Linked DNA regions of Nothobranchius furzeri. The protein of the gene in region 1 purifies or fractionates together with the protein of each later gene. This does not show direct contact. Links are inferred from orthologs where the notes say so. Each region holds a gene or a part of one and is shown on either strand. Other genes may lie near its edges. The genes, in order: pan2 and pan3.

Region 1 (3,818 bases):
TTTGCTGCTCAGGCTTTTTTATTGAGACAGACTTTGTGTTCTCTGATGTGCTATAATTACCAGGGATGTGTATTTTTGAAATTCTGGCGATACGATACGTATCACGATACAGGGGAGACGATACAATATATCACGATATATTGCGATACATTCAGTCAGACGTTACAAGCAATTATTTTTACTGAATTTATTGTAAGAATGTTCAATAAACAGTCCAAACTGATACGTAACATGTTTAACATGAGGTATCTGAACCATGATGGAGGGATTTACATTTCAATGGTGGAAACAAAACCCGTTGCACACTGCTGCCAACTAGCGGGTGGCGATTGAATTGCACAAAACGAAAAGAAAATACACAAAAGTTTGCATGTAAATTCTTTCAAGAATTAGATTCACGGCTTTTGAATATCAATGTAATAATTGCAGGAAAAAATATCACGATATATTGCCATATCGATATTTTCTTACATCCCTAATAATTACCCGTTGGTGACACAGGATCAGTCCAGCTTTTGTGTTTTAGCCCTCGAACATGAAGGAGCAAAGGTCCCTTCTTAATTCTTAGAGGTGAACTTACTCCACCTCTGTGGTTGTGTTGCTTTTATCATGTTGTTTTATTTGTATATTTGGTTATTCTCACACACATTGTTGGTTTAAAGTTATCCAACAAAACCCAGTAGACCTTAAACCACTACAGCTCTCTATCCAGACAGACCGATGAAGTGGTTCCAGGTTTATTCCTGTGGAAACCTGAAATGTTCACAAACATCAACAGAAATAAAAGATGCTGCTGCTTCACTACAGTCCAAAGTGTTAAATGAGAACACAGCTCTATAAACATCCCTGTTTATGTCTTTAAGTGTCCAGGTTCTCCCTACAGCTGGTTAAATAAATGCTTAAGTTACGTGAAAGGGACACTGGTGTCATTTATCAGAACCCCCTGATGGGTCTCTAGATAGTTTGTTTTTTTTTCCTTTGAGTTTGATAAGTTTCAGTTTTTCCTTACAACAGACGAGCTCCTGCTGTGGACCCAGAAATTCTTCGTACCATGAAAACTGTCGGTTTCATCGGTTATGCAGCAAATCCTCGCACACGCCCCCGAAACCAGGTAGAAGTCTAAGTTCCCATGTTTTGAAAAGCCTGTGAATGCACCAATAGATTGTGTTTAGGCTCTTGGTGCCACTGAGGGAAAGAAAAGGGGAGGTTTTAGTTGATTAGTTGAAGTTGCAAAGAGCCAAAAGGCTGCATCAGTAAACAAACAAATGTTTTAATGAGGAATTTTTGCTGCATTTTAAATCTAAACTTTTACGTCAAATGCTTTTAGTGGTTTCACTTTAAGTTTCCTGACTTGTGTCCTGTGCGTGTTTCAGGTTCCCTATAAGATCAAGGATGTGGAGCTGGATTATGATAATTACAACCAGGTTCCAGAGTCTCCGATCGGCCGTGAGGAGGAGCCGCATCTCTGCCTGGTTCCTAAGAAGTACAGGAAGGTGGGGATGTCTCTGTTACGGATAAATATCAATGGTGCATTTACTTTTAAGGCAGAAAAGTAAGTGTGTGTAATGGTTTAATGAGTGTGTTTGTGCTGCATCAGGTCACCATTAAATACTCTAAGCTGGGATTGGAGGACTTTGACTTCAAACATTACAACAAGACTCTGTTTGCCGGCCTTGAGCCGCATATCCCCAACGCCTACTGTAACTGCATGATTCAGGTAAAGCACCCCGGAGGTTCTGTTTGGGCTCGAGTGGGAAAGAGGACTAACATAGGTTGTTGATCTCTGACTATTCTGTTGGGTGCATCAGGTGTTATATTTCCTGGAGCCAATCCGGCATCTTGTACAGAATCATTTGTGCCAGAAGGAGTTTTGTTTGGCCTGCGAGCTCGGCTTCCTCTTCCACATGTTGGATCTGTCACGAGGAAACCCGTGTCAGGTAAAGTCCCGGTCCTGTCGTCTCTGCAGGGGTGTTAGGACATCACCAACCCTGTGCTCTGGCTCATCTCTTCCCTCAGGCCAGTAACTTCCTCCGAGCCTTTCGCACCATCCCTGAAGCTTCGGCTCTGGGCCTGATCCTCGCTGACTCGGATGAGCAAACGGGGAAGGCCAAACTGGGCCGCCTAATCCAGAGCTGGAATCGCTTCATCCTCACCCAGCTGCACCAGGAGACGCAGGAGCAGGAGGGTCCGCAGGCCTACAGGGGAGCCAGCAGCAGGTCAGAACAGCTGGAGTCGGCCAGCATGGAGTCTGCAGCTGTTTGAGCAGATGATAGCGGAGATAAACTTGTGTGTGTGTGCTTCTGTTCATGGTAGCTCTCTGGGCTCCTCTGGTGAGTCCATCATCGGGAAGCTGTTTGGTTGTGAGGTAGAGAACAGCAGCCTGTGTCGCTGTGGGAAGGAGACGGTCCGGTCCTCTCTCACGCTGCTCTTCACCATGCATTATCCAGAACACAACTCTCAGAGTGAGTTAGGGGGCTTTTTCACTCTTAATGTGCTTTTACGTAGCCTGGATTGATAAATATTTAGTTTGGGTTCTTTAGACAAAACGGTTAAGGAACATGATTTTGCTGAGATCCTGAAGAAAAGCATCTGTTTGGAGCAGAGCACTCAGGCGTGGTGCGAAAACTGTGAGAAGTACCAGCCTACGGTGCGTTTCATGTAACCGCAGCAGCCACATCCCGCCAGCAGCAGAATTAAATGGTTTTATTCTTTTCTCTAGGTGCAGACACGTAACATCAGGTGCCTGCCCGACGTTCTGGTCATAAACTGTGAGGTAAACAGCGCCAAAGAGGCGGAATTCTGGAAAGTTCAGGCAGAGGTAACATATCACCTGTCTGCTTTACTGCAACACTTTCCATTTAAATCGGATCTCCTGACTTCCCTTTTCTTTTTCCAGTATGCTTTTAACAAAGCCATGCAGAAGGAGGCCACGGAGCCAGCGAGATCCAGCGACCCCCCTCCCAGCAACACAGAGTGGTGCTTAGAGTAAGAACATCGTCAGTTTGAGTTTTATTTGAATCATCACACCTGGTGGAGCCGTCCAGGTCTAAATGACATCTATCACACTTGTTTTTATTTGCCTCGTTATGATTAATAAAATAATTGTAAAAGAGAGGAGAAGAGGAACAAAATTGTTTTGCTTTAAAACAGATGCAGAAGTTTAGTTTCCACTTCATTTTGCTTTGATGAACAGATGATTTCAGATCCATGGATTAGAGGAAGAGCAATCAACCAGCTTTTAATCAGCCAGTCTGTATTTAGTTGGAATAAACCCACTGTGATGATGATGATGATGAACACAGATGTTCTCAGCCATTTCCTGCCCTGATATCCAGAGATCTGTGTCAGCCATAGAAAAGCCCAGATAGGTGGACCTCTAACACAGATCATTGGTGTCTGTTCACATCACTCAGTGGGGAGGAGATCTGCAGCATGGGTGGCTTCACCTTTGACACCCGGGCAGAAGATCTACGACACGTCTGGATCCCTGCCACTCTGAAAATGTCCATCAGTAAAACTCAGGGTCTGGAGATCAGCAGCTGCTCAGAGGGAGAGGAGGTACGCTTTTATTTAGCCTCTTCTGTAGAAACGGTGAAGATTTGCACATGAATCCTGACTTGTTGCGACGCCTCGGTGTCTAGCTGAGCTCTGCTGAAGAAGCAGAAGGTGCTTCTCTCTATGATCTGGTCGTCACGGTGCCCCACGTCCAGGACGCCCGCACAGGTGGGAACCTGGTTGCACACATCAAAGTGAGCGAGACGTACCACCAAAGGAAAGAGGTGAGAGGAAGTGAAACATCAGCTTCATCTTCAGCGGTT
Region 2 (4,385 bases), on another chromosome or scaffold:
ACAGAGGGGAATTGGTATCGTGGCAAGGTAGTGAACAAGCTACAACCTCGTTTCTTAAAAAAGAAATAATACGCTCTGCTCCCGATGGTTACGTTAGATGGCCTGTATTTGATATAGCGCCATCTAGAGTCCTGGAACCCCCTAAGGCGCTTTACAACACAATCAGTCATTCACACACTGGTGGGGATGAGCTACGATGTAGCAACAGCTGCCCTGGGGCGCACTGACAGAGGCTGCCGAGCACAGGCACCACCGGTCCCTCCGACCACCACCAGCAGGCAACGTGGGTTAAGTGTCTTGCCCAAGGACACAACGACAGCGACAGACTGAGTGGAACTCGAACCTGCAACCTTCCGATTACGGGGCGAGCACTTAACTCCTGAGCCACCATTGATCTCTATGGGCCGACGGAACAAAACGAGCGCTCAGGGACCATCAGCAAATCATCACACCAAAAACATTAGATGATAAACTTTGTAAAAAGTCCATTGTTACACACTGCAGCGTGACCAAATTTACAAAATACAACACTGCACACACGCTGATCACACTAAACTATTTAGTTTAATCCAGGTATACAGTTTTGATTTAGTGTGAAACTTTTAATATAAATTGCAAAAGCTCATCCATTTAAAACTATAGTGACACCAAATTCACACAGAAAATCACAACTTGGATGCTGATCATATTACACATTTTATGTTTTTAGAGAAAATACTATACTTTTCTTCTTTTTTTTTCGTTCTGACTTTTGGTGATATTTTAAAACGTAGAAATTAAATAACTCCTATACTGTGAACTCTTGACACAAAATTATGCCTGCTGGTCAATACTTAGCTCCTCTACATATTACAAAATTGTGTGTCAATTGAGTTTAAAGTGTAGGAGCTATTGAAATTAGAAAATTTTAAAAAATTTAAATTTTAATTCTGAGAAGTATTTTTAAACAAAAGTAAATGTTATGTCAACAGAGTTTACAGTGTAGGGGCTATTGAAATCTCTTACTTTGAAAGAAATCACCCAAAATCAGAGAAGTACAAAAAAATAAAAATAAAACGTGCAGACCGTAGATAAGGTAATGCAATTAGTTGCCGTCAGTTTGGTATCGCTAACATTTTCAATGTAGGAAATATAGATAATTATAAGTTATAAAAAGATAACCAAAAAGCAGACAAGTCATTTTTCTGCATCCAATGATAATCATGAATGAATGAATGATAATGTGGTGTATGATTTTGGTGTCACTACATTTTAAAATGGAGCAAATGTCAAAATTGATATCTTCAAAAATTAAAAAATTATAAACATTATGTGTTACTGGATTAAAATAATCAATGTAGTATGAAGAACATGTGTGTAGTGTTATATTTTATGAATTTGGTGACACTGCAGCATACAGGGGTGGTGCTGTTTCTGGTTAGTCCATTTTCAGACGGTCCCGGCAGGTTCGTGTTCTCATAGAGCACAATTTAGCTCGTCGGGAGCTGAGCACGGTTTTTTTTATTTTTAAGATTGTAGCTTATACACTACCTTGCCACGAGTCCAGAGAGGTATTTTATGTTTTGAAGTATTATCCTGTTCAGAAGGTATTGAGTTGCAAAAGTCGAATCTGTGAATATCTTGCTAACTTTACTGAAGTCAACACCAGATCCTGCCACAAGGTGATAAAATAAAGCGCACCTTAAGTAAAAAAAAAAAAAAAAAAAGTTGTATTTTTTAAATATATAAATATTCGCTGCTATTGGTGGTTTTAGGTTTGAATGTGTCTAGAAAGCTTTGAATGACTTAAGTCAAACGTAAATGCGTGTTTATTAATGTTTGTTTACCCCGACAAAAGACGACGCGAAAAGCAACAACAATGCTGTAAAACAGTTAGCATTGATACGCTAACGTTAGCAAACATGAAAAACACAACAGCAGCACTACTTGGAATTAAAATATAAGCATTTAACTAGATTAAAACTAATGCTACAACAAGTCAAAGGAGTAAGAAATCTTGAGACGAAAAAATAAACACTAAAGTTAGCTCAAGCGTTTGTTAATGTGACGCTTGTTTGTTTAACTGGACAAGCTAATAGCTACACAGCTGTCACACAAAAACAGGCCTCCGAGTGAGCTGCACACACATGGCTCTTTATTATTGTGCTAATATTCAATGTAAACTAAATTAAACTTGCAAAACAACCAGAGAGAAAGATAAGGGCTAACTGCCTACAATAAGGTTTGGTTCTGGCATGTTACGGTAAACCACGCTGTTTAGCGGTAAAGAGGCCCATGCGAGTCCTCGGGCTAAATTACGAGACCGCTGCTTAAGGCCTCAAAGAAAAGTCAGTTAGCTAACTCGTCCGGGGCCCTGTCCGTGTGTACTCACTGGTTAATAGCTGCCCCTCTAGGGACGTGCCCGCAGGCCCCAGTGTTTCGTTCTTCTTGGATACACCGGTCCCTCCACCGCCAGTGCAAGGCGTCACCGCCGTGACGCCGAGGGAGTACCCCGCCGTGGCCAGCGGAACAGGGCTACCGCCGCCGTGCAGCGGCATGCTGCCCATGCACGGGTCTTCGTGCAGAAACTGACACTCATCCCCATAGAAGCAGGTTTTGTCTTTCGCATAGTATCGGCAAAACTTCACCTTGACATTGGGTATCCCGACACCCCCGAGCGGAGCAGCTGAAGGTGGGAGTCCACTGTTCATGGCACCACTGCTGCCGCCACTGCTGCCGGAAGGCACTCGAACATAGAGCCGCGGAGAGCTAAGTGCTAAGCCAGCTACTTTACTACTCTAAATAAATCACTTCAGCTCACGGATAACATTTAACATCCCATATTACTCGTATTATAAAGCTAAAATACATTTTGGTTTAAGAAAATATGCCCGCATGTGTGAAATCTTGGTGGTTGTTGTCACCGTCCATGCAGCTGCCTACGCTGTAGCGGAGCCTGTTGTTGTTTTCTGCTCTCAGCCAGGCTGATGAGTCGATAGCAGAGCAGCTAACAAGGATATGCTGCGTGGAGTGCAGCATCATTCACCTGCCGCAAACTCAACTCAAGAGCGCTGCTTCCCAATTTTAAACTTAAAGTGCAACTCCAAGTATTTCTGATGAAGTCACTAATAAATAAATGAGTAAATTAATAAATAAACTGAGACAGAAGGCAACATTAGTATTTTTTATTTAATCTTTATTCATTTATGAATAATGTTTTAGTGCTGTGTAATAATAAAAATTATATGATTTTAGCAATCGAAGTCTTTAATTTAATTAAGTTTTGATCCCTCTAGACCACACATTTAACACTGCAGGATCTGCAGTCGAGTGGCGGGCCCTAAACTTTGGGAATTTTGGAAACCACCGAGGTTTCACTCAGGACATGAACAAAGGAAAACAATTTCTTTAATTAAATGTTTTATTCTAAATACAATGTTTCACATATGCATGTTTTGAGACAAATTTTAAAAAGCATACATATACTTATAGCGATTATGCAAACATATTTATTTTCCTATTTCCTGCAAAAAAATACCTCTTCTTTTGCATGTCTGTATTTATCGCATGGCAACATATAATAATACATTTTGCCATCTCAAATTATTTCTATGGTGCTAATGTTTTGGTTGTTTTGAGCAAATAGGCGTGACTATTTCTAAGACTTCCTCTCTTTAAAAAGATCCCCGCACACTTAGTGCGCTGCAGTTTCACTGTTTGCGCTGAGAAACCAGGCACAGAGTGCAAGCATTATGGTGCGGGGAAACAGATGTGCACTAGCTGCAGGTACGTGAGTGTTTAAACACAGCTTTTCATGACGTTGAAAGCTGAAAATGCATTTTAAAAGTTAATCATTGGAAATTGTGACTGTAGAATCAGACTTTTTGAACATTAAAAAATATTCTCAATGTGTGCTCTTCACTTTTCTAATAATTTATGAGATTTTTGTGAAGACTATGTAAGATATCTGATTTAAAGTTGTATTCTACTGTGTTGAATTTAAGAAAAATGTAATGTTTAAATGTGAGGAATTACCATAACATCTAATCCAGATTAGGTAATTTGATTAAAACAATGTCATTATTAAAGATAAATCTGATTCATATTTTCAACCATTGCAGGATATTAATTAAAAATTTACTAATCTTTTTTTAATCTTAAAAACATCCTGTATAACAATGTAAAAAAGTAAATTCCTGACACTTTTGACCTGTTCTTACATTTAAATTAATTTCTAAATATCCTAAGTGACCATTTTTCTTGCCTAGAAAGCAAAGTAGGAACCCACACTGAGGAAATAAAAAAAATCTTCAGCACCAGGAGGATTAATGTAATGTAAAATCACAGTAAACACAAAAATAATAATACGTAATAATGCTTAACATTTTGATTAAATGTCTATTTTT

Evidence for each region.
Region 2: the proteins of pan2 (region 1) and pan3 purify together in Homo sapiens (co-immunoprecipitation; 5 studies listed by BioGRID and IntAct, with this or other methods). This does not show direct contact. The link is inferred for Nothobranchius furzeri from reciprocal best matches to the Homo sapiens genes PAN2 and PAN3.

The regions. Positions count from the first base shown.
Region 1 is NC_091755.1:54,247,833-54,251,650, forward strand, and holds part of pan2 (PAN2-PAN3 deadenylation complex catalytic subunit PAN2), read left to right. Parts: intron 1-1,014; coding exon 1,015-1,111; intron 1,112-1,373; coding exon 1,374-1,493; intron 1,494-1,597; coding exon 1,598-1,717; intron 1,718-1,808; coding exon 1,809-1,937; intron 1,938-2,016; coding exon 2,017-2,216; intron 2,217-2,313; coding exon 2,314-2,462; intron 2,463-2,540; coding exon 2,541-2,647; intron 2,648-2,719; coding exon 2,720-2,818; intron 2,819-2,896; coding exon 2,897-2,985; intron 2,986-3,413; coding exon 3,414-3,558; intron 3,559-3,641; coding exon 3,642-3,779; intron 3,780-3,818. UniProt on the Homo sapiens protein: Catalytic subunit of the poly(A)-nuclease (PAN) deadenylation complex, one of two cytoplasmic mRNA deadenylases involved in general and miRNA-mediated mRNA turnover.
Region 2 is NC_091747.1:51,122,968-51,127,352, reverse strand, and holds the start of pan3 (PAN2-PAN3 deadenylation complex subunit PAN3), read right to left. Parts: upstream 2,919-4,385; 5' UTR 2,691-2,918; coding exon 2,372-2,690; intron 1-2,371. Other genes in the region: receptor-type tyrosine-protein kinase FLT3, read left to right, coding at 3,732-3,765. UniProt on the Homo sapiens protein: Regulatory subunit of the poly(A)-nuclease (PAN) deadenylation complex, one of two cytoplasmic mRNA deadenylases involved in general and miRNA-mediated mRNA turnover.